4 linked regions of the Oryzias latipes genome follow. The protein of the gene in region 1 interacts with the protein of each later gene in a biochemical or structural test. Links are inferred from orthologs where the notes say so. Each region holds a gene or a part of one and is shown on either strand. Other genes may lie near its edges. The genes, in order: ccne1, arih1, fbxw7 and skp2.

Evidence for each region.
Region 2: of the proteins of ccne1 (region 1) and arih1, one has a biochemical effect on the other in vitro, tested with the Homo sapiens proteins (3 studies listed by BioGRID). The link is inferred for Oryzias latipes from reciprocal best matches to the Homo sapiens genes CCNE1 and ARIH1.
Region 3: of the proteins of ccne1 (region 1) and fbxw7, one has a biochemical effect on the other in vitro, tested with the Homo sapiens proteins (18 studies listed by BioGRID and IntAct, with this or other methods). The link is inferred for Oryzias latipes from reciprocal best matches to the Homo sapiens genes CCNE1 and FBXW7.
Region 4: the proteins of ccne1 (region 1) and skp2 form a complex in vitro, tested with the Homo sapiens proteins (2 studies listed by BioGRID, with this or other methods). The link is inferred for Oryzias latipes from reciprocal best matches to the Homo sapiens genes CCNE1 and SKP2.

What each region holds. Positions count from the first base shown.
Region 1 is NC_019861.2:36,306,254-36,313,896, reverse strand, and holds the start of ccne1 (G1/S-specific cyclin-E1), read left to right. Parts: upstream 1-2,673; 5' UTR 2,674-2,781; intron 2,782-3,098; 5' UTR 3,099-3,134; coding exon 3,135-3,148; intron 3,149-3,361; coding exon 3,362-3,440; intron 3,441-4,744; coding exon 4,745-4,810; intron 4,811-4,986; coding exon 4,987-5,132; intron 5,133-5,206; coding exon 5,207-5,342; intron 5,343-7,081; coding exon 7,082-7,228; intron 7,229-7,301; coding exon 7,302-7,397; intron 7,398-7,643. Other genes in the region: uncharacterized protein F13E9.13, mitochondrial, read right to left, coding at 597-747, 830-1,010, 1,082-1,164, 1,459-1,531. UniProt on the Homo sapiens protein: Essential for the control of the cell cycle at the G1/S (start) transition.
Region 2 is NC_019864.2:16,685,459-16,692,934, forward strand, and holds the start of arih1 (E3 ubiquitin-protein ligase ARIH1), read right to left. Parts: upstream 4,436-7,476; 5' UTR 4,246-4,435; coding exon 3,964-4,245; intron 379-3,963; coding exon 311-378; intron 1-310. Other genes in the region: beta-hexosaminidase subunit alpha, read left to right, coding at 4,865-5,135, 5,590-5,694, 5,797-5,862, 6,009-6,055, 6,176-6,286, 6,373-6,474, 6,697-6,829. UniProt on the Homo sapiens protein: E3 ubiquitin-protein ligase, which catalyzes ubiquitination of target proteins together with ubiquitin-conjugating enzyme E2 UBE2L3.
Region 3 is NC_019859.2:19,476,633-19,483,989, reverse strand, and holds the start of fbxw7 (F-box/WD repeat-containing protein 7), read left to right. Parts: upstream 1-3,121; 5' UTR 3,122-3,589; intron 3,590-7,357. UniProt on the Homo sapiens protein: Substrate recognition component of a SCF (SKP1-CUL1-F-box protein) E3 ubiquitin-protein ligase complex which mediates the ubiquitination and subsequent proteasomal degradation of target proteins.
Region 4 is NC_019870.2:24,274,118-24,281,632, forward strand, and holds the start of skp2 (S-phase kinase-associated protein 2), read right to left. Parts: upstream 4,186-7,515; 5' UTR 4,080-4,185; coding exon 4,066-4,079; intron 3,445-4,065; coding exon 3,191-3,444; intron 3,115-3,190; coding exon 3,003-3,114; intron 2,265-3,002; coding exon 2,121-2,264; intron 1,826-2,120; coding exon 1,691-1,825; intron 1,558-1,690; coding exon 1,459-1,557; intron 1,331-1,458; coding exon 1,203-1,330; intron 577-1,202; coding exon 525-576; intron 136-524; coding exon 28-135; intron 1-27. UniProt on the Homo sapiens protein: Substrate recognition component of a SCF (SKP1-CUL1-F-box protein) E3 ubiquitin-protein ligase complex which mediates the ubiquitination and subsequent proteasomal degradation of target proteins involved in cell cycle progression, signal transduction and transcription.

The sequences.
Region 1 (7,643 bases):
GGTTAAGTATTTGGACCTTCTGACGCTCAAGTAGCCACAGGTTTACGGGATTTAGCCAATCACAATCGAGTAATCGTACAGAAAATGGTGCCAGGGGCCAAATATGATGGATGTCATGACAAGAGCCTTCGGGCCATGTTGGGCCCATGGGCCAGACTTTGGACATGCCGGGTGTAAACTGTATTGCGTTGGCCACGGCCTACAGTAACCACTTAATCAAGGTCTCAGCCCCTCGGATGCTACACTCCAATGAAATGATCTGATGAGGATTCATTCAGGTGTTTTTCTTTAACTTTAATACTGTCTTGTGGGGTCCAGATGACCCCCCCTTCCATTGACGTGTTCTCCCTACCATGACAAAGGTGGAAAGATTTCATGTAATCCATGGACACCAGTGAAGATCCCAAATCATTGAAGAAAAAAGGTTCAGAGCACTGTCTAGTGGGTCTAGATGACCCAGTCCCAATGTCACACTGCCTTCAAGGCTTCGTTTTGAATGAAAGCACAGGTTAGAGTGTCTTTGACTGTATCTGAGAACTGGAGCGAGTGAGTGTGACATCACCGGACAGGTCGCCGTCTTCCGGCACAGCCCTCACCTGTGCTTCTTTTTGATGTCGGTGAAGATCTGCACGTGCTCAGCTCCAATCTGCCGGCGGTACCGCAGCAGGTCGCCGGCGCAGGCGTTCAGGAGGCCTTCATCCGCCACATGGGAGAAGACGAAGCCCTCTGCCCGGACGAAGTCCAAACCTGGAACCACGCAGATGCAGAAGCGTCGCCGTCTACACTTCACGCCTTCAAACCCGCCGCCTTCTGCCAGGAACCAACAAACCTGACGCCAGGGCCACGGCCAGGGCCTGCCGGTTAGCAGAGGACAGGATCTGCACCCCGAGCGGCAGAGACGGACAGGCTCTCCTGACGGCAACACAGACCGCCGTCATGCAGGCGCACACCTCAGGACCCACGTGGAACGTGTAAGGAACATCGTGCATGTTCTCCACGATCAGACCGTCCTGAAACAGCAGCTGGCAGTCATCCCGACCGAGAAGACCCACGAAGGAACACCAGCAAAGACCGCACTCACCACCCCTGCTTCACGGTAGACATCTGCCTCGCGGCACGCCTCCTCCACAATCTGGGACATCGTCAGGCGTCCCAGAGGGGAACCTGAGTGAGAGGAGACGTTCCCTCACACCGGATCAAGTCAAACAACCCGATAGTAGGAATGGAGATCCAGTTTCTGGGATGAAACTAATTTTTCTTTTGATTTACTTTGAATTTTTAGAAATTCATTTAAAAAAACAGAAGCATCCTGGAAAAGAAGAGTTAAAACTGAAAGTTACTGCTGAGAAATAGATCTATATTTCTGTCTAGTGTGGAATGAAAACGCCTTAGAAAAGTGGAGACAGTTTGGTGGGAAACTCAAACTCCTGTCTTCATTGCTGAAACGGGAGACTTTACCTGGCAACGCTTTGACGTGAATCATTCCGATAACCACTGACTTCAAGCGTCCGAAAAGCTCCAGGAACTTCATGTTTGGGTTTGGCTGAAACTCCAACTGCAGGAACTAAAGTTCAGCTTCCACCGAGGGACCGGATCACGTGACGGAGCAAAGGTCAGGGGCAGAGGTCAGCGGCACGCCGCGTCCACCACGTCTGTTAGGATCCTTCAGCCAACGGGAGACGCAAAAAAAAGAAAGAAAAACAACAAAACGTCTCTGCAGAAAGAAAAAAGTTACTAAAGCATGAAGTCACTTTAACTTTGTCACATTTGACAAACACAAGCATTCATAGACACAAACACACTCTCTCACGCACACACACAGATACATCCAGACAGATATTTTTATATCTCAAACTCATGGAATCAGGATTTAGGAAACTATTTATTAAATTATGGAAAAAAAACATCTTCTTTTTACAGTCTTTTCAGACTCATTTTCCAAATGAGTGGATTAAAATATGAATCCATTTCTTTGCAGCATTAAAAGTAAAAAATGGGAAAAAACCTTTATTTTTAACCGCCTTAAGTTTTCAGTAGATTACATGTCGCTTGTTTCCCGAAGATCTTCTGCTTCCTGGAACAAAATCTTTAAGTGTTACAATGATCAAAACAGTAACTTAATCAATATTTGTTTACCCAAGTAAAGGTAATCAGTAAGGGGCAGTAAAGTTACTCTTAAAAGCTCAATTTAACCAAAAATGTGTAAGGTAAATGTAACGTGTTACTTCCTCTCTCGGCGTGTCTCTGTGACGCAGAGTAAAGGAGGGAAAAAAGAGACACTTATGTGGCTTAATAGGCGGGAAAATCTAAAAAATCTGCAAAAATCATCAAAAATATTCATATTTTCGCTGGTTTCCAGTCTTCTTGGCGGTTTTTCCCGGGAGACCGCGGCTTTGTTTACATCTGACAGGCTGGCCACGCGGAGCCGGCACACTTCCGGCCCGGTGGCCACGCCCCCGCAGCTGTCAGCGCCGCGGCCACGCCCCTCCCACAGCTGCAAAAGCGGGATTTTTCTTTCCCGGCGGCGGAGCAGCAGCTGAAGGCGCCAGCAGCCGTCAGAGCCACTCAGAGTCCCGCGCGCGTCCGTCAGGAGGTCCATGGAGGAGAAGGTCGCCAGTCTCCGAGCTTTGGCGCCAGTTTGAAGCGGCTCCGCCCGGAGGGACGCTCGGGTTTTAGGCGCCAGCTCCAGGGAAACCCGCCCGGCCTGCACAGGCTCTGTGAGCGGGCAGCTCCGCCTCTGACTCCCGGGGACTCGGAGCGAACTTCAAGGAGTCTCTTGGGGTAACTTTTCGCTTTTCATCGGGGTGTTACGCGCTGAAAGGGAACTGTGTATTCGGTGTCTCGGTAAGTCCCGCTCTGCGTGGCCGCTGGCAGGTAAAGTTCCCGCGGAGCGGCTGGAGTGATTGTGAGGGCTCCGGGGGGCTCGCGGTCCTCTGGGGGGAGGGCACGCGCCGCTTCTTGTTCTCGCGGGCTCGTGCGCCCTCAGAGCCCGCTTCTTCCCCGCCACTTCTGCGCCGGGCTTTGTCAGGAGGAGGCGCCGCTCGGGTGGGGGTTGGGTGTTTTCTGGAAGCCCGGAGCTAACGCTGGCATCCCCGCAGGTTTGCTCGGAGTGTGGGCCAGCGCGTCCGAGGACCATGCGAGGACAGCGGTGAGTTGCTGTGTTTTTTACCCCGCTTCCAGCGCTTAATATGTCGGGGGGAATGAGCCGCTCTGACGGCGCCGTCCGTCGGCGCAGCCCGGTTAGCCGTCCGGCTAACTAACCCCCGTGGCCTCCTCCTCCTCGGGGGCTAAACTCTGGGAGCCCGCGCGGAGGTTCTGGACGCTTCTGGACCACAAAGACACGTCTGTTTTTTCTCCACAGGGAGCAGAAGGAGCCCACGAGTGTCGCCCCCACGGAGAGGTCAGAGAGGAGCAGAAAGAGGAAGGCAGATGTGGCCATTGTACGTGAGCGGACCAGCTGGTCTGAACTGGTCCATCAGACTGGTTCTGCTCTCTTTATGGTCCGGCAGAACCTTCAGCTATGGAAGCCCAAACATGACAAAACTCACAAACCATATTTAAGGCCACAAAAATGGATCCATTTAGCCAGAAATTCTTTCCAAGACGTGATTTAAAATTATTTAAACTTATATTGATTTTTATTTCCAGGAGGAGGTTGAGGTTCTACAAACACCCCCACAAAACGGTTAAACAGATTTGCGTTTTAGTTTTCTTCGCATCCAAACTTGACACCATTTTTTTCCCATAGTTTCCATTGACTATAAAAACGGCTTTGGATGCTAAATTTGTCTCATGTAAACACGATAAAACTTTCATTCATCATTAAAAATAACGGTTTCTGCGCTTGGAGGAGGGGAGTTTTTGAGACGTGTCTAAATTAACATATTTGTCAAAACTGCTTTTTGTATTAAATGAGCCACGTGACCAACGACCGGATGGCGAGGTGCTTCTTGGTAGGAGCTGGCGGACTTGTTGCACGGCGGGCGCCACACAGCTCGTCAAAAGTTGAGCATCTCGTTGGATCCAACAATTCCACATTTCCCAAAATCTGTTTCCTCCGTAGCCCCTCCCACATGTGAGGAGCTCGCCACTCCACGGCCTGAAAAAGAGGCCGCCGTCTCCCTTTGTTCACGCCCGTTGGCGTGTTTTTGAATGACGTGTCGCGTCAGTCGCTTTGTGTACAATTGTGATTTAATGGAAACGGTGTAATTGCAAAAATGTTTATTCTGCAAACTTCTAGAATTTACATAAAGTTTGGCGCATGATTCAAAATAAAAGAACTGATAAAAAGGTTTGTTTGGTTTTTAAAAAAAAAGGACTTTATTAATTTATCTGAACGTTTGTCTCATTTTAAGATCGTGGAGACGAAACGAATAAACATGAGAACAAAAGCTACAAAAATAAAACTAGAAAGCTGTAAAAATCGTAAACACTCCAAATATGAGACGTGTTGGTCGTGAAATTTACTAAGACAACCTGATTTGTGCCAAAAAAAAGAAATTAAATAAATATGTTGATTCCTATTTAATCATTTCATATTTTTTTAAATATCTTTCTGTAATTGATAATTGATGAATGGAAAACAGAAGATAATCTGGAATCAAAGTTGTTTGAGCTTTTATTTTGATAGTTTCATCTTCCACTGTAGACATGAAGTGTGTCTTTCATCTGTGATGAAGATTTTGTGTTTTTGTGTCTCAAAGCTGCTCAGAAGTCGCCGTCAGTCGTTGTGTTTGCGTCTCAGTTCCTACAGGATCCTGACGAAGACGAGGCAGAGATGACGAAGAAGAGGCAGCATCTGGACTGTGAGGTGAGGCTCGTTCGACACCAAATGTGGCTCCAGGACGCCGTTTGACGCCGTTTCTGTACGGATGTTTCAGATCCAAGTCTGATCTGCCGGAAAGCTGAAAATCTCTGGTTGACGACCAGGAAACGGCGTCCCGTTTGCCTCTGAACTGCTGTTCTGAGCCTCTCTTCTGTGTCAAGGTGGACTGGAGCCCCGACTCGGACCGGACCAGCCCCCATCGGTGGACGCCGGAGCGCCGCCAACAGATGAGTGCCGGTTTCCTGCACCTCAACTTCCACAACATATTCGTGACCCCGGTCCACTGCGCCCCCCTGCCGGCGCTGTGGTGAGTGTAAACCCCGCCTCCCCGGGCTCGGCGCCACGGAGAGCCGCCGCTAACGGTCGCTCTGGCTTCTCCAGCTGGGCCAGCAAGGACGTGGTGTGGAGCAACATGCTGGCCAAGGACAAGAGCTACTGCAGGGACGTCCGCATGCTGGACAAGCACCCCCACCTGCAGCCCAGGATGAGGGCCATCCTGCTGGACTGGCTCATGGAGGTGGGTGCATCCGGAGGCGGTCGGACGCTCCCGCCGTTACCCCCTTCTCTGAAAAACTGAACGGCCGTGGGAGTGACGGTAAACCTGCTCTGCCGCATTTCTGCTGCAGGTTTTGCTGTGCGGCGTCTGAACGTTGTTGTTTTAAGGTCAGGATTTTCAGGAAAAACCATGCAGACCTTCAAAGTAAAAGCCTGTCTAGTGTTTGAACCAACAAACGGGTGACGGCGGCGTTTCATGGCTGCCGTTAACTGAACGTGCGCTAAGATGAACTGACGACGGTATTCAGGAGCTGAGTGAGCGTAAAGCTCTGACGGCGCGACCGCTGGGTTTGGGAGCCGTGTTCAGGGGGCGTGTATGTCGCTCGGGGGCGGTAACCTTTCTGGTTGATCTGATTGGCTGAAATTTGCAGGTCAAATCCCAGCGGGAGGAACCATCTAGAAATGAATGGGACCAAAATCTCTGATGGGGCTCAAAAGAATATTTCACCAATGAAACCCAAAAAAAACGTTGGTGATATCCAAAGGTTTTGAAATTATTATGGGATGGCTACACGACCTACAGCGTGTGGCAAGATGAGAAATGTGGTGTTTTTCCACATAGAAATGTTATTTTTCAATTGATCTTTGCAATATTTCCCCCACATACCGCCAGGTGAAGTCTACAACCACAACCCAAGTCATTTTGACCTTTTGACCTTGGGACAATCTTGAATTTTCCTAAAATAAAACAATCCCCTTTAGTACCTTTTTTCAAATAAATGTCAGTTCCTGGTAAGGTTTTCAGTCTGTTGCCTCCTAACTGCTCAAGCGTCATATGATTGTAGATTTTGAACGCCGTTGGCGTGGCAAGCTTGCAAAAGTGGCGTTCCCTTTTTAAATTTTTTTTTTACTGGAATGTGGTCAAATTTTAATACGCGAGTCGTTGGCTTAAGCAGAGCGAAAAGACATGACATACAAAATTAACCTATTGGGTTTGTGGGCGTGGTTAACAAAAATCCTCCGTTGCTAAGAAATTCCCCAACTTTACCTTTTATTATTCCACTAAAAGTCACACAAACCTGTCCGACATCTCCATAGCAACCAAAGCAAATGGTTGCTATGGAGATGAAACCAAGAGAAAAGCATAAGAATGTATTTTTACTATGAATTGTATCACATGAAGGGGGAGAGCGAGCGGCGAGTAGCAGCTGCTCTGACAGTGAGGGCGGGTCAAAAGGGGGCGGGTCCTGCCCCCATACAACGCCGCGCCCAGCTTCCATTTTTTTATATTTCTTCTGTCGGGTTAATCCTTGTTTGTGTTTGACATTTGTCTGCTTTGAAAACAGAGTGTGTTTAAATTTAGCTAAATGTTTTTACCCTCAAATATCAAGAACATCAGGAAACGCCCATTATAACCACTGCAAGCATTTTAGGTTTAACCAATCACTGTGTAGACGAACAGGCTCCGCCCATTGCAGATTCTAAAAATGGATAATTGATGTAGGAATCCCTAAACCCGTTTGTTTTATGTTCACACATTTCCAGGACGTTTTTGTCCCTTTTAGCTTTCCATACTTGTGTTTTTGTGCTTTTTTTCTTCACATAAATTGCAGTAGGAGGAGCTGCTTTGTCTTTTTTGTTTATATTTTCTGGCCTCTAACGTAAAGCGTTACCGTTTAACCCGGTTTGGTGTCGTCCCTCCGGCTGTGGTGCGTTCACGGTCCACCGCACCGTCCTGAACTCTGAGTTTTCCGTCTGCAGGTAAGCGAGGTCTACAAGCTGCACAGAGAGACGTATCACCTCGCTCAGGATTACTTCGACCGCTTCATGGCCACGCAGAGGAACGTGCTGAAGTCCACGCTGCAGCTCATCGGCATCACCTGCCTCTTCATCGCCGCCAAAGTGGAGGTTTGTTTGAACGCGGAGCCGCCGCAGGTTCAAAGCGCCCGTCGTCTGAACGCTCCTTGCTCCGCCCCTACAGGAGATGTATCCTCCAAAGGTGCACAACTTTGCTTACATCACCAACAAAGCCTGCACAGAAGACGAGATCCTCAGCATGGAGATCATCGTCATGAAGGTAACTGCGGCGCTTGTTCAGGTGGCTGCCGGACCCGCGGTTTGACGTCTGCAGGAAAATCCAAAAGTTACTTCTATCGGCTTTTTCTTTTGTACATCAAATGACTTTCTTAAAATTGATTTCATAAAAAATGAGTTGACTGAAAGAGAGACTAGTTCTTTTTTTAGATGTATTTGAACATCAGAGAAATGCTGCAGCACCACCCTGTGGCAGGAGGTCTGCATCACCGCCTGCAACAAAAGTCCT
Region 2 (7,476 bases), on another chromosome or scaffold:
ACACAAAGAAAAAATCTTTTACGATCTTTCATATTCCTATCTACTAAGTGTTTTTATAAGGGCCTGTTTGAATGAAATAAGAGCTGATATCCTGTAGATGGAAAATGTGTTTAGATCAGTGAATGAGGGCAATTTCCTACGGGACACCTGACCATCTCCCACGGCACACTGGTTGAAAAACACTGATGTATACAATGTGTTTGAGAACAGTTTTTAGAACAATGAAACACTTCATCTTGTTTTCAGGTCACCTTTAGCTCTCCACGGCCCTGTTTTAACCTTGAACTGTAAATATTTATGAACTTCTTACCTTTCCATAAGTTTCTCTTTATCCCAGTTAAAGTGACTGAGAAGGATGCGAGTTATTGTAGCAGGGTTCTAAAAAAGCAAGAAATTACAAGTTATTTATTAAATTTGATTTCACAATAAATAGGCTTATTCAACATTTACTGTATTTCGTTCCTAATTTCAATTTCATATTTGTGTTGCTGTATAAATATACATACTGCTTTAACATCGAAACTGTTCAAATACTTGAAAACTGAGAATATTGTTTAGTGAAATTAAAAATTGGCTGTTCCTACTTCATTAAAACATACCTATGTAAATTTTCTCGTTAAACAGACTTCTGTCCCCTAATTCAAAAAATCTGCAATGATACAGGAGTCTTTTAGACTCGTGTCTCAGCAGACCAAGAAGCTTTTGACTCCTGCTACAAGGCAAAAAAGGCGCTGTGTCAATAGAATTATTTTGGTGAGAGGATGTTATATCTCCGCCTCAACAGCACAAAAGCTTTTTCCAATTCATATCAGCAGAAAAAAATAAAAGAAAGATTTTTAAAGAGTAGATTTATTCAAATATTTCACAACAACAGTTGGTGTAAACCCATTTGTAAAACAAAATAAAAAGTTTTTTAAATTTTTTTTCCTGAAGTAGAGGACTTCACAATAAGAACCAAATACTCTACTCCAAAATTCAGGAAGTAAAGGTTTGCACCGCCCCCAGGCTAACACACATATCCACTGTCTCCATGGAGCTAGCCGTTTCTGGCTAAAACGCTGTCCTTTTATCTGCACATCCATCTGTGCAGAAGTTCGGATGTTTGTTTTCGTGGGCGAGATGCAGACACGCTGCCGAGGCCGACTCCAGGTTGCCGTCATGAAATGGGCGGCGCCCACATGGAGCCAAAGCCGGAGCCTCAGAGATCGAGTTATCTGGGTAGAAAAATGAGCTGCGAAAAGAACTCATTTCATTTAAATAATGTTCTTTAGTGTGCCAAAGGTAATATATCATCATATATATGGATATAGTTTACTCTGAAAGGCATGATATGGGCCCTTTAAAAATAACCAGACCCAGTCTCTTCCTCTCCCACTGTCTTTACTAATTTGTCTGCATCGTTGGTAAAAACTGCCAATGCAAAAAAAAAAAAAATCCAACTTTTAGCTGCTTAACCTAAAATGTCTGATTGGTGCATGGCGAGAACTTTTTATAAAATATTTTTTTCCCTCAAAATTGGTCAAAATGATTTCTCAAAGCAAAATATAATTTTCTAGAACAACAAATACATCAAAACTAATGAAAAACTAAGAAAGCAAATCCACTCACGGAAGGGTCAACAAGTCCTGTTTTCCAATAGAAAAAGGCAAAGCCCCAAAACTACAAGAAACTGAATTCACTTAAATATCAGAATGTTGCATGCATCAAAAAGTGCATCAGCAAAGACAGCAACAGAGATTAAGGTTGCTGTTTAAAGGGCAAAACTGTTCTGGATTTATTTAGTGTAAGAAGACAATCAAACTCAAAGCGTTTTAAGCCAATTAGAATGTATTACGTAAATGAGAGCATCTTGTCTTAAACACAAAAAATAAATCTGTAGTTAGTGGGTGGATGTTATAAGTTTAACAAAAGCAGATATGCTAACATGTAAATAAATAGATGTTGATTGTGGAGAATTTTAAGTTTTGCGTACTGAAAGTTGGACTGTCTTAAATGATGTCAACCTCATTGATTCAACACATTAGTCGTGGGTGTGAAGCACACAAGTTCATGGCAAGAGGGAGAGGCCGTGGGGTAGGCATGACAGTCGAGTAGGGGGCTGCTTTTGCCGACAATACAAAGGTAGAAAAACTCCTCTTAGGTCCCAACAGGTAGAACTGTGCCGGCGCCCAGCTGCTGTAAAGCAACCTTTTGTTACAGGTTAACATTCTAGTTACTTTAAGAGGCACTACCCAAAACAATGTGGTGTATATCATATAGAATCATCTGCTACATCCAATGAAAATTGAAACAATCTATTTTAGAAGTTGAGCCACTGTTAAACCTCTTTTAGAGAAGGTTGACCTGGATGGAAATTGGGGCAAAATTGGCATTAAAGAAATGATTGAATTTCAACAGAAAAAGTGCAGGCAGACTCCAACTTATTTTAAAAATTTCGACCAAAATATAACGTTATGAAAAACTGAAGCAAGGCCAAAAATATAACAGTGAGAGGATCCAAACAGAGCAAACTCGTCTGTTTGAAAAATGGAAAGCCAGGTCAGAAACAACACACACGCAAATTCTGTTTGAGAATATGATTAAGTGCTCAAATCACGTTTTCTGTCTTTAATACGAGTAGCACCCAAACAGGAAATACTAAATGTAAATGATTTTATTTTTAAATAAAATACTTGCTGAAGATGGAGCAACTTCATAATTTGACTAAACATCTCAGCTGAGTGCGTTTGGTTGGACCTATTTTTCTGTTCTCTAATGAACAGCAATATCTCCTTTAATATATCTCTGATAGAAATAGTCAAAGACAGAAATCTGTTTTAGCATATGGAGAAACAAAATATATATATATATTAAACCAAGCTATGCGAGAGAAACATGCACCAAATACTGTAACACTTTTTATGCTTGTTTCTTTAACAGGTTTATTTGAAGAAAAAAATGCTGTACGTTTGCTATCAGTTTAATTGAAAAAGATCAACTTCAGGTTGAATGTAAAAAAAAATTTGAGCCTAAACCTGTATGATCAATGCAACACTGCTGTTGTCTGTCAATAGAAGACTCAGTGGTTTTGGTTCACTGCTTTATTTAGCTTACTTCCATGGGTGTTACTGGAATACAACGCCATCATAATGGATCCACGGCTGTAAACCTGTCATTTGTGTCCAACCAAACCAACTTTATGATTTGCCAAACTTAGTGTTTCCATGCTTTTGTATTGAAAGCCAAGATTAAAACAAATAAAACGACTGACTGGGGAAATGGAGGCCTAATGCCACTTGACTGAACAGCAATCCCTGCTATGTTTAAGCAACATGGTCGTGTCATTATATTCAAATGTTGTTCTGGTCAAAAGAATATACGACATTGAACAATTGTGGTAAAGGGGGTTAACACATAACTCAAGTAGCCTGATAAAAAATAAACACTTGGATGACCAAGCCTTAATTCGTTAAACTAAGCCAACATTATTGTTGATAGAGCTTATCGTAACTTATGTGCAGTCGGTTTTAAACTGAAAACAAAATTGCTTCCAACAACATACATCTCGGATCTGATGCTAAACATGCACAATTAACAGCTAATTGCGTTGTGGTTTAGCAGCTAGGTGTTAGCTTAGCTTTGAGCTTTTAGCGATAAACTAGCCAAAAAGCTAACATTAGCTTAGCAGGCGTTTCTGCCAACTTCTCTTTAGGGATTAGACTACTTCCTGGAACAAACTATTGTGAACATCTTTATTTTTGTTTGAACCTGTAACTGTCTAAACGTCTAGTTCAATGTTATGTAACCGAAATGATCTATCATAAATAAAAGAAAGTGAAGTGTTCTTTTTTGTGAACAGTCATCTTCCAGCAAGTGAACTCCTCCAGCGAGGTTAGCAGCTAAAGCTAACATCCGTGGCCTGTTGACGCTTCACACAATCGTAAACCCCGGTCTTTCCTGACTTAGGCATACCAAGATACCTACCTGGATGACCTCATTGACCTCCCTGATACACTCCACCATATGCTGGAGGATTTGCTCGGCAGTCAAAACCTCGAAGCGGTAGTCCTCCTCCTCGTCCTCGCCGGGGCCGTGGCCACCTACACCGGTCTCTCCGCTTTCGTCTCGCTCTCCGCCGGCCACCACGGGATCGACCAACTCCACATCACCGAGATCCAGGGTGTCGTCGGGCTCCTCGCCGCTGACCTCGCTACATTCGTCTTCTTCGTCGTATTCATCATAGTTAAAACCCTCGTCTGAGTCCATTCCTGGGTTGTTTAGCAGCTTGTGAGGAGCACACCCAACGGTCTGAACTCTTAGGTGTTGATTGCGGAACAATGCGAGAATCAAAATACTGGAGCCTGTTTTTCAACGGCAGCGAAAAATAACAACAAAACGTCGCCACTGCTAAGCCAACAAAGGGACGAAGCGTCAGCCACTGACGACGGCCTTACGTCAGCTGGAGCGAACAAGATGACTTTAGTTTTTACTTCCAGATATTTTAAAATAGAACAGAAAAATAAATCATATCATACGTCCGATTTTAACTTTTATTAATATATATTTAAAATATATATATTTAGCACTCGTAAAAAAAACAATACATAAACTTTTATTGCGTTGACACTATCTTTCTCCGCTCTCATCCAAACACCAATTTCCAATAGCTAGGGCTGTATGAATACATGAAATTAAAACAATTTTAATGCAGATTTTGTTTAACAACTGCCAATGATGGGGCCTAAAGGTATTGGCATAGTTTAGCTGTGCAGATACTGGTAAACAAATAATCAGAGCTCATAATACCAACACTGACCACGTGACCGCTTGCCTGTCAGGGGTGACGGACTGAGTTTGTGGGGCAGAGGAAGGGGAATTAGCTTGAATGAAAGTCATGAGGGCAGTAAATACGAAACAATGCGCCCCTATAATTTACGCTTTACTTCAGCTAATTATTTTCTACGCTGGCCTGAACGCAGTAAAGGGAGTGTGGCCGTTACCGCACGCGCTCACTTCGTCGGTGGAACAATACCCGTTAAATCCTCAAACTTTTGCCTTTGATTATGGGAAACACTCAGCCACACAGCAGGGATGTTCTCTTCTGGATGCTGCGTTCAGGAGATACTTCTTGCTTATTTTTCCAGACTACACCGCTGGTAGGTGGACTGAAGAGTTCCTGAAATGTAAAATAAGATTTTTTTTTTAATTTGTATTTAAATGTAGCCTATTTTTGTTATTGTGTATTTTATTGTTAAAATTAACTTTTAGTCACATTTAAATAGTTTTACCTATTGTCTTTTGTTTAACTCATTGTTATCAAGAGCAGATGATGTTGTAGGGCACTATATAGGTACAAAAATAGAGAACAAAGTGCTCACTAGTGTTGTTTTGTATGTACTTCTTGTCACATGGCCTTTTTAAAGTGCATCAATGGGTTTTGTAGAGACAACAGTTCACTTGTCTGTCACTATGACTATCTGTGAAACATTTAACAATAAACATCTCCAGCCCCATGTTTTGATTGAGAAAAAATTACTTTCTAAATGTGGTGTTTTGTACTTCTGTAAAAGTTGAAGAAACTGCATCATTAAACTAGCGTTTAACCAACAGAAAATGGTCAACTGGAAGTAGCTGCAAATAACTCATTCAGTCTCTATATCAGCACTGATCACAATGACTGTGAGAATTACCCCAATGACGACTCATCTGAGAGATGTAAGTATGGAGTTTCACATAAAAAAACCACCAACGTTTATAATTTATAACAAGAGATTATGAAAACAGCTTCAAAAATGTATTGTTCTGTTGGTTTTCCAGACAATCTGAGTGTCTCTGCTGGACAAGCATCCCTGAATGCAGCAACAGTTTGGGGTATTTTAAGAGGTGATCTCTACATTTTGCATAGAGAACTGTCATAAGAGGAAATACATATTTATAATAGTCCAGTAAATGAAGAACTTTCGTTGTTACTCATCTACTACTTACAAATCTGTATTTAAATAGGTACATGTGTGTTTGTTTAAACACAGGTCTGGAAACGTTTAGTCAGTTGGTGTATCAAGATGATCTTGGCTCTGTAAGTCTTTTTTCCAAGTTTAGAAAGTTTTTGTGTTTGAACAGTAACTGCACAGTCTCTCTAAAAAGACCTGTTTTCATTTTGGTTTTGCTTTTCCTCTCCTTTTTTTTTCTTTTTCAGTATTTTGTGAATGAAACGTTCATCGAAGACTTCCCCCGGTTTCAGTTTCGGGGGGTTTTACTGGACACTTCACGCCATTATTTACCAGTGCATGCCATTTTAAAAACTCTGGTAATAATTTAAATATAATTTATACTGCAAGCTTCAACTTTAAGTCCCATCAGTTTTTAATATTGCACTTTTTTTGTTTTTGCTAGGATGCTATGTCTTACAGTAAGTTCAATGTTTTCCATTGGCACATCGTTGATGACCCATCTTTCCCATATCAGAGCCGCTCCTTTCCTGAACTTTCTAAGAAGGTGCGGTACACAGATAAGAAAAGCTGCTAAGTTCAAACAAAATAAAGCCTAAGTGCTCCTAATTCCGTACTTGGATTATAGTTTTAACTTGAAAATTGATTTTATTTTGCATTTCAGAGGTGCCTTTCTTTTCTGACATAGAATTGTTGGCCAAGCATTTGTTTAAATATGAGTGCTGGAAATCAGCGTCCGCCTTTACCATAAGCCTCTGTCCTGATTTAGGGGGCTTTCCATCCAGCAACACACATCTACACACAATCAGACGTGAGGAGAGTGATCTCATATGCCAGGATGCGGGGCATAAGAGTCCTTCCAGAGTTTGATTCACCGGGACACACGGGATCTTGGGGAAAAGGTAACACGTCACTCCATGGAAAAAGAATTGGATTCATCCAGATGATCTCAGAATTTTGATACTCTGATGAATAAATCTGATAAGGCCTAGTTTGACTCAGCAAGAATACATTTCTTCTACATTTCCTACCAGAATTGTGAAAGGGCAAATGACACAAATGAGGCTGACTCATTTTCATAATCTGAATACTCAAGAAATGCTGGTAGAAACATTACAAATACTAGAATATTTCTACATTTGGTTTGAATGCTTTTCATGCAACGTACAAGTTAAAGACCCACTCCAATGGAAATTGTGTTTTTGATGTTCTAACATGTTCTTTAGTATTTTTTTCATGATGGAGGATACATTTAAAAGAATTTAAGATTAAAAATGCATTTCTGAGCATTTCTTTATTCAAATTGTGATGGATTAGGAGCAGCTGTTTGAAAAAGCTCTAAAATGTGACGCACACAGCATCTGAAATGGGCGGGGCATAGTCTCACTGCTTTGCTCCATTCTGATGCAACCACCTGTAAACAAATAGATGCATTAATGTCTTCATTTTCCTCGCCCAAGTTGGCTTTTGGCTCAGAACTGTACGGCTGGATAGCTCCAATATTGCTTGCTATTTTTTGTTGCACTGGTAATGTTAGCTTTGGATTGTG
Region 3 (7,357 bases), on another chromosome or scaffold:
GCTTCATAGGTTAATTGGTGACTCCAAACTGCCCCAAGTGTCTACATGTGTGTGGTTGTAAGTCTTTGTGTTACCCTGAGATGGACTGGCAAACTGTCCTGGGTGTACCACACTTTTAGCCAACAACCACTGGAACGGTCTCCAGCAACAACCAAGACCCCAAACGGGAATACAGCAGGTTCAGACAAATGGATGTCTGTGATTTTGATTCAAATATTAAATTCCATCAACGTAATCAGTAGTTTATGCTTGTCTTCCCTCTACTTCTTCTCCTTTCGGCTTTTCTTCTCAGGGGTCACCACAACGAATCAGCTTCCTTCATCTTTTTCATCCTCCACTCTTACACCGGCTACTTTCATGTCTTCGTTCACTGCATCCGTAAAGCTCCTCTCTGGTTTTCCTCTGGACTTCTTGCCTGGCAGTTCTAGACTCTAGCATCCTTCTACCAATATATTCACTGGCTCTCCCCTGAACATGTCCGAACCATCTCAATCTGGCCTCTCTGACTGTATCTCCAAAATCCCTATCATGTGCTGTCCCTCTGATGTAGTTGTTCCTGATCCTATCCATCCTGGTCACTCCCAAAGAGAACCCCAGCACATTCATCTCTGCTACCTCCAGCTCTGCTTCTGTTCTTTTCTTTAGAGCCACTATAGGTCAAACAACATGGCTGGTTTTGCCAAAGTTTTGGAAAAATTCTTTCCTTTCATTTGAGCTAAAACTCTTTGACCACATTGTGCTCCTAACAGCTCTCGTCATGTCTAATATGATAACTTTTTATTTTTTTTTATTTACAGGCCATTGTTTTCTGTTGTATCTATCTCAGAAATCTCTTGGCGTCAGGCGGATTTTTTTCTAACAAGAAAAAAATGTTAGACTTCTAAAAAAAAGTCAGTTATAAAACTTGAAACTAAAAGTGTGATGCATCATTTGCTTCTGTAATTGATCAGTAGTTTCAGCTTTGTCTAAATTGATAAATTCACAGTCTAATATTTTGTCTGTGAGATCTGAACATCTGATGTTCATTTGTGGTCAGATGATTTGACTCACAGGAAAGGACATGGAGGTGAAACACTCCAGACAATACAAATAAGAAATAATGCTTTGGCAATACTTTCCCCTTTTTTTATTAGCTTCCCCTTTAGATTTCCAAACAGCAACTCTGCACAGACCAATAAATCTGTGTTCTTTTGTGTTGATATGCCAAATAGACTGGTTTTTAAACAGATATGTCAGACTTTTGGCAGCACTCTCCACTATTGTGACTAAGTGTGAGAAAACTATGTAAAAAAACAGTTTTTTACATCCACATAAATTCAATTTAGTTTTAAACTTTATGAAGACAATCAAACATTTTACAGGCCTACAAACTGTTGCTTTTACACATTTATGAGCACCACAGCTTGTCAATATGATTTTCTTTTGAGAAAGTTCAGAATTCCCGAGCTGAACAATGCAAGCTTTTGAATCAAATTTCTTCCTGACAAGGTGCAACCGTAACAATCAAAGATAATGATGATTTCTAGTTAAAATAAGTAAATCTGACTAACTAATTTAATGTATTTAAACATATATCAAAATTGAGATAAAATGTGTGAAGCAAATGTGTAAGATTGAGATGGTTTGGACACTTTGAGAGGAAGGACAAATGATTATGTTGGTGAAAGGATGCTTAGATGGGAGCAACCAGGAAAGAGGCCGAGAAGAAGACCAAAGAGGAGGTTCATCGATGCGGTGAAGAGAGACAGGAGACTGGATGATGTGAGTAAGGAGCATACTGAGGAAATGGTTTAATGGATGCAGAATTAGCCTTAAAGGGAGCAGCAGAAATACAAAAAAAGAGTAGAGTAGTAGAATATTTTGGAGTCTATTTGATTTGATCCTGTTTGTGGATAAGTTAATAAAAAAAACGTTTACGGAGGTTTTTCAAAGTTAGTGTCTGATCAGAGCAATCAAACAAATGAATGTTTTGAGCTAGGGTGGAAAACTAAATCAGGCAAAAAAAATTACACAAAGCAAAAGTTAGCAAACTGTTTGATGAGAATAAGTTAAGTTAGCTGAGAAACAATCAGAACAGTTGGACAAAATCACACGAACTGTACTTGTAATGTTTGCATGTACTTAAAAGTACAGAAACTTTTTTTCTGTAGTTTTTTTTTTTCCTGAAGTATAATATGAAAAGATATCCTTTGTTTCTAGAGTGTTTTTTATTTAGCTAAATAACTGACTCAATGCCAATCTCACAGTATCACAGAACTTCAAGCTTCCCAGGATCACATTCAGAGCTTCGTGATATCTCAGGGTTTCAGACTCTCCCTGGAGGATCCAGAAACGGGGCATAATAATGACCTTGAGCCAAAACTAACCATCGCTGACAATGCAAGTTTAACTTGAGCTGCACACTAATCCACAATGGAAACTAGAGTTAATGAACTACAATGATTTGATTGCAGCTTGTACAATCTTGATAAACCTTGTAACTTTGTATTTAGTTGTCCTATACTGTTCTTTATTTTCAAGTATAAAAATATATCAAACATTTGTGTTTGCAGGTGTAGAATTACTTTGTAAAATGATATAAAAAATCCCAGTACAAAAAGAAAACATTGTTGTTACTGCTACTACTTATAATAATAATAATAATAATAATAATAATGACAATAATGATAATAATAATAAAAGCATTATTACTACCACTTTGTTTAAGGCTTCTTTGAATAAAATTTGTCATAACAGTTTTAGTATACAAAATAAAAGATTAAGATGGAAAACGTTCTGGTCCAAAAAAGAAAAACAAAAGTTCAGCAGGCACAACAGGTGTAAAGGTTATGAATAGTTAAATATATGCTCCAAACGTGTTGTTACTGTACCTAGATTTCAGAAATACTGCATTTATGTGTATTTTTACTTAAATAATCCAATTTAAAGTAATTCTATGTATATTTTTACCTGTTGGTGATTGATATTTAAAAACATAAACATCATAAATTGTTGAACAGCATGAAAATTAAAAAAAAATTCCTATAGTAAAACAGGAATACTTTTCATTCATGACCATACTGAAAACGTCATTTGAAAGCGCACAGAATAAAAAAAAAAAAAAGTGACGTCATTTATTTGCGACAGTGTGTCCAGTCGGTATAGAGAGCAGGGAGTTCAGCAGCATCCCTGGCGCTTGTATAGGAGCTTTAGAACGGATTATTGTTAAAAGCTAACCAACAGCTTGGTCTCTCCGGGTGTGCTTTTCCTCATATAATCATCGGACGTCATCCTTTTTTGCTCAGTGGAAAAAACGAGCCAATGGTTCGATGGAGACACTTAGTTTGAAGCAGCTGCTAACGTTAGCGGTGTTTTACTAGCCAGCTAACAACACGAACTGGGGATGTGGAGGCTAGTTAGCTGCAAATGCTAACTTGTTAGCTTCGTTTAGTTAGGTGCGAACTAACTGCTGCTGGGAGCTGAGAGACGACTGAGGAGCTTCTACCTCTGAGGTTTACTTCAGAAAACTTTAAAGGATATATCCGCTTGGATTCCTGGCCACTGGGGGTTGACAAAAGAGTCCTGTCCCGCCTATGTCACCAGTTTTCAGGTAAATACAGCTCAAAAGCAGGATAACAAGTGTGTTGTGCTCTAATAGTTGGACCACTGGGCAGGGGCCTCGCATTGACTGGGTACACAGAGCTAGCAATTTACTTGCGTGCAGTCTGTTAGCATCGCTAATGCTAGCCAACTTAACGCTACTGCTAAGTGTAGCTTGTTTTGGACGAAACTGAAAATGACAAACCAGTTAAGCAGGCGATCAAGAAGTTTAAGTGACCTACTAGAGAATATGGTTCAGTTTGTGATGTTTGAGTTTATTTTTCTTGCTAAATTATGAGCTTCCCCTAAACGGCACTTTACCCTGCAAACAAAAAGTGCCAAACGCACCGTGTTACCATGGCGAACCGCGTGTACTCGACAGCTTTCCACCTTTTTTGTCATTAAAACAAACTTTTTTATTCACACATTCTATCGTAGAGATGTTAGATTAATTCATACAAGTCTGGATAATTAGGAAATAACCTATTTTATCATGGTTTCAACCAAAATTGAAAACTCATCTCAGAACACATGCATTAGTTAGTGATGCCTGTGTTAAACCTTAATATTTAGAATTATTAATGGATTTTAACTTGTGTAGTCATTAATAAGCAGGATCAAAACACAAAATTTACGACGAACAAGCCTGCATAGTGCAGGGAAATACTAATTACGAAGTCACTGTTCATACTAATTGAGTAAAAACTCACAAACATAACAAACAGATGAAACACGTTTGCACAGTAATAACTTGTTGTTGTTAGTTTCTTACTAACTAACTAGACTAAGTTCTTAAGATTTGAAATGCAAGGACGTTTAAACATCCATTTTTTGTTTTAAAGTTCAGTACAGATTATCTGAAGGAGAACAACTTGTAGGAAAGAATTGTAGATAAACTTGAAACCAACAGATTATTGATTTAAGTTCTTAAAGACCTAACTGGATAATAAGCATCTTCTACATGATTAATTGATAAATTAAGTTAGATGTAGTTCAAAGGAGTCTTGACGGATTAAATTATAACATAGCATTGTCAAATAAATCCCTGTCATGCTTTTTGCATTCAAAATTCATCTGCAAAGAAAAATGTAGCGATCAATTCTGTTCTTTGCTATCCAATGGCACTTTTTGTGCTCTATTAAGAATACTAAGGTAGGCTTTTTGTGAAAATTTTACTTGCAGGGTTCATTGATGATTTGTCTTGGTGTGTAAAGCCTAGACAGAGTTCTCATAAAATACAGAATAACATTTGTCTACATTTAAGCAACACAATGTTGTCTGGTAAATCAAAGTATGTTTGTTTTTGATAAAACTTCTCATTAAAGGCAGTTATTTTATCAGTTTTTGAACACTGCAGCTAAATTTGACGCGTCAATTATACTCCTGAAATGCTAATGTAAATACAAGATGCTTTCTCACGATGGTCATGCTATGTTGGCAAAGAAAAAAAAACATGCTTCCCAAAGGAGCGCCGTTCCTCTTCAGCAAGTCACAGGTCAAGTGGGTGTTATAGCTCTAATTTGTTGTGTACTTACACTCTGGAAGGTGTATTCACTGAAAGTGTCGTTACTGTCCCACTTAGTGCTGCATTTGACCTATTCTCATGCATTCACACAATGCATGAAGGTGATAAGAAAAAGTACGTCCTTCTGTGATGCTGTAAGTCACAGAGCAAAGCGATTTAATGCTCAAGTTGTGTGAAAGAGGCTCATAAAACAACACAAAACGTTCCTTTACTTTTCTTGTGTCCTTACTTATTTGTTTCTTAAAGATGAATTTTTGTCCAAGGATGTTTTGTGTGAATTGCTTCAGATAAAAAAGTGAATGCCCAAAACACAAAGTTCAGCAGTTAATTGTTTTGTTATTTTATTATTGTTAGTATTTTTGTTACTTTTGATCTACTTTAATAAAATTTGGAGTAAAAGTTGAAGGCCTTCTAAAACATTCCGCCTTTTTCATATTAAACCAACTTTCTAGTTATAAATTTTAGATGTTGGACAGTACAAAACAATTGTTTTTCTGCAGTAATTTTATTTGACATGCATATTAATATATAGGTCATGGTCATGACCATGACTGGTATCATTATTTGTTCAATTTGATTATTATTTGGAGCAATTTTTTTATAGTAAACGAAGCACTGATTAAGAAATACTGTTTTTCTTTTGTTGGAACAACTAATAAATTTTTTTACTTTTTAAAGAGCAATAGGTTAGCACATGACGTCCGTCTTTTTGTGACATTCTGTATTTATTTTTGTGTCAACTTTTGAAATGTTGACAGCTGGTTTATATTTAGTAGAACCAATGATCTCAATATTGATTTATTTCTTTGAAACTATTTACCTGATGAACAGTTAAATTTCTCTTAACGTATTTGCTTGTTCCTCTTCTTAACATGTTTGAGGCACTGGTTATGATTTGAAAAAGGGACAAAACACATGAATCAATAACAGAGCTGGGCGATACCTCGTAATATCTATTGTATAACACTATTGTTTTCACATGAAAACTAGGTGAAAACAATATTGCCTCCTACACCTAATGTGTTGTCAGTTTGTGTATTCTTTCTGATGATCCCACAGCTTATGTTGTGAACACAAACTGTCCCTTCCCTTATTCATGCAACACCTATGAGGCTGCAGGTAAACTTACAGGATTTCCTCGTTGTCAACCAAATTCTTGAGTAACACAATTGAAAAACATTATTTCTTTAATTAAGACTTTGTACAAAAAAGGCAGCTTCAGGCAGAAAATGTTCTGATATCAAATCAATATTTAATATGAACAATCTAAACATTTTATGCTGCTCCTACAGCCCAGAGTGCATGAATGAAAACAATAGGATTCTTTAAGGCAATAGGATGAGGAAGAGAAAGTTTCCTTTGAAATTGGGAAAAGCTTTAGCCACATTTAAATCCCAATTTTGAACCCAATCTGTCTGATTAAGTTTCGTGAGGTACTAACTTATAAATCTTTGTGTTTGTCTGGAGACCCAAAACTAGTTTTCCAGATCCGCTGCCACAGAAAAATAAAATATAAAACCATTGATTGTATAAGAGAACTGGATTGAGTGTACCTTTCCTCCTTGTGTTCCAAACAGAAAAAAACGCTGGCTCTAAAAAGCCAAATCCCATAACTGTCTATTGAGAAATAAACAGCTATTACTTTTTCATTATATTTGTCAGAATACCCACTCTTGCTCTGCTACCTTTTTCTGAAGATGGTCTTGCTAATCCCAAAATCCCCCCCCCCCCCCCCCCCCCCCCCATTAACATTAGTTATTTGTTTCAAGTTCTTCAAGTTATAAATTGGCCAATCAGATGCCTAAATAATGCCATGTGCTGCCCGCTGGCCCCCACCTCGAACGTTCGAAAAGGTTGACAGATTTTCCTGAGCCAGCTTTCACTGGAAAGGGGCGTGGACTTCCAATAAGTTTGCTAATGATTGGCGACAGCAGTTCTCATAGAAACTTTGATTCAAACTCTGACTCGGACCAATCGTTGTGTACTAACGTTGCCTGACCCTCCAAATGACTTCCTTTGTATCGCACAAAAATCGGTCCAGTTCTCATATACAGTCAATGGAATGAAACAGAAAAATGGGTGGGGCTTCAAAAACTAGTTTCTTGAAAGTCTCAACAAGTCAATATTGATATACATAGCTGTTTATCATCCAAATATTGTATTAGGAAAAAAAATATATTTTTGTGTCAACTAACTATGCAGTTCCCCGTGCTTTAAATCATTTTATTTTACCTCAGTAGCTATGTCTTACTC
Region 4 (7,515 bases), on another chromosome or scaffold:
ACCCTGCAGCTCCAGGTGAGGACTTACGTGAGAGCAGCCAGGTGAATGTGATAGCAGCGACTCAGGGACAGGTGCTGCAGATCCTTCAGCTGTTTGAGAACCAGGAAGCTGTCAGCCATCAGCAGGGTGCTGTCACTGAAACACAAAGACTTAGTGAAATTCTGATAGAGACAGAACTTAGGAATCCAGTTCATCTGAGGAGAACCCTTTACTTAAAGACCCACTCCAATTAAAAACTGTGTTTTTAAAATGTTTTTGTGGGATTTTTCTCATGATGGAGATATATAAAGATAATTAAGCACCAACAAATCCATCCACAACTCAGAGGTGGATTTCTATATAACTGCTCTGTGTCCTAGAGAACCACACAGGCTTTTGATTGTTGCTAAAAACAGCATAAGCGTACTTAAAAGACAACTGGGAACCCTTTTACAATAGATGATCGGAGTGGGACTTTAATGAAGAGCAGTTCTGAATGAACGCATCTGGTGTTTCTGTTTCTCTGGGCTGGAGCGGGACGGTACCTCAAATCCAGGTGTTGAACTTCAGGACATCTGTCAACCAGGATCTTTACATCTGTAAAACACGCACGCCATTCCCATCAGTGACAGCAAAAAGATTTCATGATTATTCCCAGAAACTATCACACTTGGCATTGCAGGAAAAGAAAATTGAAAATAAAACTAAAAAAATGTAATGCATAGAGTTTGGTCACACTTCCATTTCCCCCTGTATGCATTATCACCTTGAGTTTAAATGTAAAAATAAAGAAAGAACTTTACTAACAGGGGTCCTGATTACAGACTTTGTGGAAATCAGATCCGATTAAAAAGGAAAACACTAAACTATAACAGCATTAATCATTTGAACAGCACTAACAGGCTTTATGTGCAGACTGGAGGATTTGAAGATGGGCTATGGGCTCACTGGGTGATCTACAACCTTGACGTTATGTGCGGGCCCCCCCACATGCTCCATATAGACCCGTGAGGGCAGTTGTGACTAAGCTATAACAGCTTGTGTTGTCTGATTTCTGTTTCCATCCTCTGGATTGGTTGGTTAAGCAAACAAAGCCTCAAACAGCTTTGCTGTTGTAAAAACCAGTGTGATCAACCGTCAGTCGAATTTCTCCTCGAAGGCACTTCTGATGTAGAACTGATGGAGGAGTCCCCTTCCTATGGAATCAGGTTTCCACGGCTTACCGTCTAACGTGAGGCTCTCTCTGTACCCGCTGATGTTCAGGCTGACGACTCTGGGGCTGACATTACTAACAACACTTTTCACGTGGTCCTTGTTGAAGCCGCACCATGAAATGTTTAGCTGCTCTATCCTGCAAAACAAAACCCACGAGGACACAATGACAACACTAATATAGCATGCAAAATCAACTCATCACATACATGAATTAGTTTACTTTATTTTTAAGTTTTGTGCGTTTTTTTAGAGGCGTTCACTGACCTGCAGCAGGACTTGAGCATGTCAGCCAGAACAGAAGCAGAGAAGCCGGAGCAGCCGCTCAGGTTCAGCTGCTGCAGGCCGACGTTGTTCCCAAGACTCCTGCAACAAAGAGTTTGACATGAGTCTGATGACCAAACCAACCGTGAACGGCAAAGTAGCACCCGGAGGCCTTGAAGAGAAGCTCGACTCTGAAGCATGGTGGATATAAACCAAACTACAACCATTTGTTCACCTGATGATGTTGTCTGAGAGCTGCAGACCCTCCAGGCTCAATCGCTCCAGGCGGAGACAGCGGCAGGTGATGCTCTCAAGAGCTGAAATGGGGATGATGGAACTGGACAGGTCCATGTCCAGCAGCTGCAGAGGTCTGGACAAAAAGAGAAAAGGTCCTGCAGTGAAGGAAGGCGTCTGTGGCTCACTGGTGTGTCTTCGTGTCTAATCGCTCAGCTTGAGCATCTAAAAAGTGAGGATAGTGCTTGGAAAACAGGTCTGCAAAAAAAAAAAAAAAAACTGGACCAGATGGTTGTGGTCCAACTGGGGCTGCATGATATGAGGAAAACGTGCAATTTGCAGTATCAGTGATCCATGTTGCGATGATAATAGCAAGCAATAAATTTGCCATTTATTGTGCAGGCCTAGGTCCAACCATCTGCAAAGCTCACTCTGTTCCTGCAAACTGCTGCTCCTCGACGAAGGCGCGCGGGCAGCGCAGGCGGCGGACTCCGGTCCTCAGCACCTGCTGCAGAGCTGGACCCATGTTGGTCAGACCCTGCAGATCCACGCTCTGCCACAGAGACTCGTCAAACCTGATGAAAACACAAGCAGAGTGCTCTCACACCGGCAAACAATCATCACACACAAAGAGGCGCTTCTGGGGTTGAAGCTAATGAAAACTGTGTGGCAGACTGAACATCTGTAGTACTGAAGTCTTTCATGTTCATCAGAATCTCAAAACCTATTTTAAGTTAAAAACCCACTCCGATCTATTTTCTAAGCATCCTGAGGGGTCTTTGATCAGGATTATGCTGCTTTTAGGCAAAACAAAAGGACAGCAGGAGTTCATTCGAAATTCACCTCTGAATTGTGGGCGGGACTGTTGGCGCCGAGCAACACTAAAGCTATCGAGCCATACAGTTTTGAGGCAGATGCCGGCTCGCTCGGACAAAGAACAGAAAGACGTACATGGATCCATTCGAATGCATCAAGAATGGAGCGGAACAGGGAGCTTCTGGCTCGCCTGCAGTGCGTCACAAATACGATCTTTTTCCAACTGCATTTTTTTGTCTGCTCCTTATTTACAACAGTTTGACTAAAGAAATACTCAGAAATGCATTTTTAAGCTTGATTTTCTTCATTCATGTCCTCCGTCATCTGAAAAATGGCTCGAGAACATGTCAAAAACGGCATTTTCATCAGAGTGGGTAATTTAAAAAAAAGAGTGAAAATTCTGAAAAACCAAATAAATCTGCATGTTGAAACTGGGGCTAAAATAGAAAATGAAACTGGACTGCATATTTGTGTGACATTCAGTGACAGAGACTCACGCCAAACGATGCCAGCGTTTACAGACTAAAGAGACTCGAAGGAGGTCCTGAAGAGGAAGGTAGAAGTAGATCCTGAGCAGCAGCTCGTCTGGCAGATGATCCCATGAAATGCCTGTAGGATTGAAGGAGAACAGAGTGAGACAGCTGACATCCCAGCCCTGCAGCCCTCTGAGCAGCAGCCTGATCACCTCCTCTGAAGTCTTTCTTTCTCCTGGGTCTCCTGGCGAGGACAAACGTGTGCTGGTCGTTCTCCTTGCCCTTGCAGGCGGTTCTCTGGTGCTTCTGTGGGGGGGACCACTGCTGGATGAGCTCTGTTGGGGTGCACTCGGTGTCCAGGCCTTGGCTCAGGTGGCCTCTGGACTTGCGCTTGTTGTGCAGCCTGGCGGACTGAGACAGCGCGTGGCTTTGGAGGCCCGCGCGTGGCAGATCCCGCAAGGGCATGCTGGATGGAGAAGAGACAGTTGGAAACGATAGAGTTCGAGCCTTCGGATGAGTCAGTGCTGCGTGGATCTGAACCAGAAAACCTGCAGGAACAGATTCACCAGCTCCTTCAAGACGGGGATCTGTGCGCGCCCGCCATATTTGACGTGGACACAACAACAAGCGACGGGACCGCGCAAATTTTCAAACAAACGCGCCGTCATTTATCTTCCAAAATGCACAGATGCAGCACTGCTGGGGGTTTGAAATGGAAAATGGAATTTCAGCCACAGATGACCCCAATGAATAAAGTTAATCATGAAAAGAGTGGAGGCCTGCGTGGAGAAAAGCGCGGTATCGGTCATCAGCTTGAGTTTTCAGGCAGATCTCTTTGGATCAGCGACTCACTAAACAACAACATGATGTTAGCAGATTTCTCCACAAAAACAACCGCGATCAGCATCCGAGAAATGCCGAAAGATGATTAACACGAGCGATCTGAGCGACCTAGGCTAGTATGTCAACGGTGATGGGAGATGCACGCGCGAAAACATTTCAAAAGTCTAAATAACAGAAAGGATTGTAAATGTGTTTGATAGCGAAGCAGTCTCTTAGCTAAACGTAGCAGCTGTGAAGTCCGTACCTGTCGCTGGACATCTTCTCTGGCGCCTTAAACTGCGGGGATGGATGCCGCTCTTTCCAGTCGGGACTCTTTAAACTCGCCGCCAGCAGCGAGGCGCCCTCTTTCAACTGACGTCATGACGTTCCAGACGTCTGTCACGTCACGTCCTACGTTTTTTGCGGACGATGTGGCATTCAAGTTTAATTCGTTTTTTCTACTCTCTAGCCACATAAGAAAACCTTTTAATGACCTCATTTCGATAAAAAATTAAAAAATAAATTCTGATGGAGGATATTTTTATTTTAAATTAGGCTAAAAATTGTACTTCTGAGTATTTCTTTATTCACATCTTTGTGATTAATGAACAGAGAAAAATATGCTGTTCAGAAAATGTTTTATTTGTGAAGTAGAAAACAAGATGGGCGAGTATTGGGTAAGATAACTGTCAATACAAAACACGTGTATAAATACAAAACTAATACTTTGTGCACAACTTCAAATAAAAAAATATGAATACCACATATAATTTGACGTGTCTGTTTTGAACAGGATTAGTCTTTGTTTTGAATGCAACTCTTGCTTGTCTTGAATACGAAATTATCCCTGTTAACAAACTGTAAATATTCACGGGGTCGTAGGGATACGGAGCCCTCCAGGTGCCAGGGATTAAAAAAGAATTAAAATCTGATAAACCGTGCGCACGGATTAATTTAATTCAATTCAATTTTATTTGTATAGCCCAAAATCACAACAACAGTCATCTCAATGGGCTTCGTACAGGTAATAATAAGGTAAACATAAAATCAAAAGGTTCATGAGTACATGGGATTTAATAGGAAAATACTAAACTGAGCTAACTAAACAGACTAAACTAAGCTAGGCATCTCTGCCCTTAGACACTCCTGCGCAGTAAGGAAAAACTGATTTGAAAAAGAAGAAACCTCTGGGGTGCCAACATGAACGAGGGATCCTCCCCCAGGACAGACAGGCGATGTACCAGACCTCTTAGAGAAGGATGAGCTTACCAAACCCAACAACTACATATTTAAAGTCCAGCAGATGAGTTTCATCCAGATTGAGTTGGGGGGCGGATGGGGGCACGAGACGAGCCGGAGACAGGATGCACAGCCAAGTGTAGGAGCAGTAGTAGAGGCAAGCCCCAGACGAGGTACTTGGTCAGGTACAGGAGCAGGGATGAGCCAACTGGTATCTGGAAGCAAAAGGGAGAGTACATGAATCGCACTGCACCAAACAGAGGCATGGAGAACTAAATGATTAATAAGGATCAAGAATAGAGGAGAGATGGAGAGGAGATGACAAGAATAAAGGAAAGAACCACAACGCACCATAGTTTACCCAGCTTCAAACTTCTAGCAGCCAACTAAAAACTAATTGTTATTGTTAAGTTTAATTTAAACATGTAAGTTTAATATTCTCTGATTACTAGCTTGTCTGGCAATGAGCCTGTCCAAAAAGGAATGTTTTGGGCCTAACTTTGAATGTAGATTAGTACTCCTTGCGCTCGTATTAGATTATTCAATTGTGCTCGTACTGTTGTGCACTCGTGTGCGCAGTGGCGGTTTTTGATATGGGCGAGGTGGGCGGTGGCCCAGGCACTTCATAGGAGCAGCATTTTCTGTGCCGGCAATGTTACACAAAAGGGAATACCTAAGTCAAAGAGGAGTCTTTCAGCTTTTCTTTTGACATGCCTGCAGCAGTCAACACTTTACGCTTTTATTTTGACACGTCTGACAGAGACCGTTGCACCTATTTGTTAATCCTCTCCCCTCTCCACACTTATGGTTAATAACTAAGAGTGAAACAACGTAAAACATCCACATGAAAAGGAATTACGCAGAAGAAAAACCCGTGCTCAACCCAATTTCGATCAGAGCAGGCAATGGGGATTATTTCCCACAATTCCCTGCTCCGACACAGCAGACCCAACGTGCACGTGACCGCCGCCCTCCGCTGCAAGACACTTGCGCCCACACCTCTTTGCGGTAGGTTTTGGAACCTAACAAGTCAAAAAATTTGAGAGGGGGGTGCAACTCACCGGTGGCTGGGTGAATCACACTAACATAGGTGATTTGGTGTCTTTTTCACTCTAACAATCAACTCTAGGCCGCAGCTGCGCGCTCCTGTCATAGAGACGTGTGTCAGAAGCAAGGGGAGGGGTGGTGGGCGCAGGCTGCGAGGAGCGCAGCCCACCTTAACACCTGGATCATCACATGCTGATGGATCACTCAGCAGCTCATGTTAATAATGTCATTATTTACCAACTATTGTAGATATTTTTATTACGTGTCTTTTCTGTCATTTAGTTGGTGTCAGTATTTGACATAAAGACAGCAGGAGAACAGGTGCACTTTATGAGATCATAAATAAACTAATGGATTGAGGTTTATTGAGGATTTCTACTGTTGGTGTTGCACAAAATTAGGGAAAAGCCAAATATTTTTGGAGTAATCCCACTGATGAGTTCTATGATTTAGTTTTTTTAATGTTTTATAAGACCTAAAAATAATATTCACAATAAGTTTTTTTTTATCCAATCCCTCTGATATGTTTCATAAAGACACACACAGGACGTCACACACCAAGAAATTATTGCTAAAATGATGCAGGAGTCCAGCTCTAAAAAATGATAAAAGAGCAAAGAAAACGGAATTTTTTGATTTGTAATTTCTTATTATTAATATTTCCAGGCTTTGTTTCTTTTGTTCTACAGCATGTTCATATTTGTATAATTTTGACAGAATATATTTTTTTGGAGAGCAAAATATGATACGTTATTGAAGCTTTAACTTGAGTTATTCTGGATTAATGTCTCTGTCTGTTTTTATTTATATTTATGTTAAAAAAGTTCCGGCCGGTTGGCTGCCTCGGTCCCGTCGAGGCCTGACCAGAGCTCTTCTAGGGCCGGCGTTTGGGGGTGGGGGCCTGGGCTTGCTCCGGGGGGGGCCGGCGCTTTCTGGCTCCTCTCTCTCTGTGTGGGGGGGGGTGGTGCTGGGCCTGGGGTGTCGGCGCCTCCGGGGGTGGGGCCCCTGGGCTGGGTGGGCCTGGCCCCCTTGCTGGGGGGCGGGGGGGGGGGCGGGGGACAGCTGTTTGACCACCGGGGGACAGTCTATCAGCTGTCCCCAAATTACCCCCTTCCTCATATAACCTCATAATAGGGTGAGGGGGTGGGGGGCTTAGCCTGCGATGAGCCTTGGGGGGGGTTTACTAGGCAGTGGCCCCCCTTCTATGGTTGCCGTATGGAGTGGGCCCCCCCTCTTTCGGTTTTATTTGCAACTTAGACATGTAGGGCCTTTGGTAGGGGGGGTGCTTGGACATCACTGCCAGCAAGCAGCGGATGTCCTCCTAGCACCCTACCCGCCAATTTTAACCGCACCTTAGACATTTAGGGCCCCTTTGTTGGGGAGGGTGAGGGGACTTCACTGTGAGTAATCAGGAGATGTCCCCTTAGTG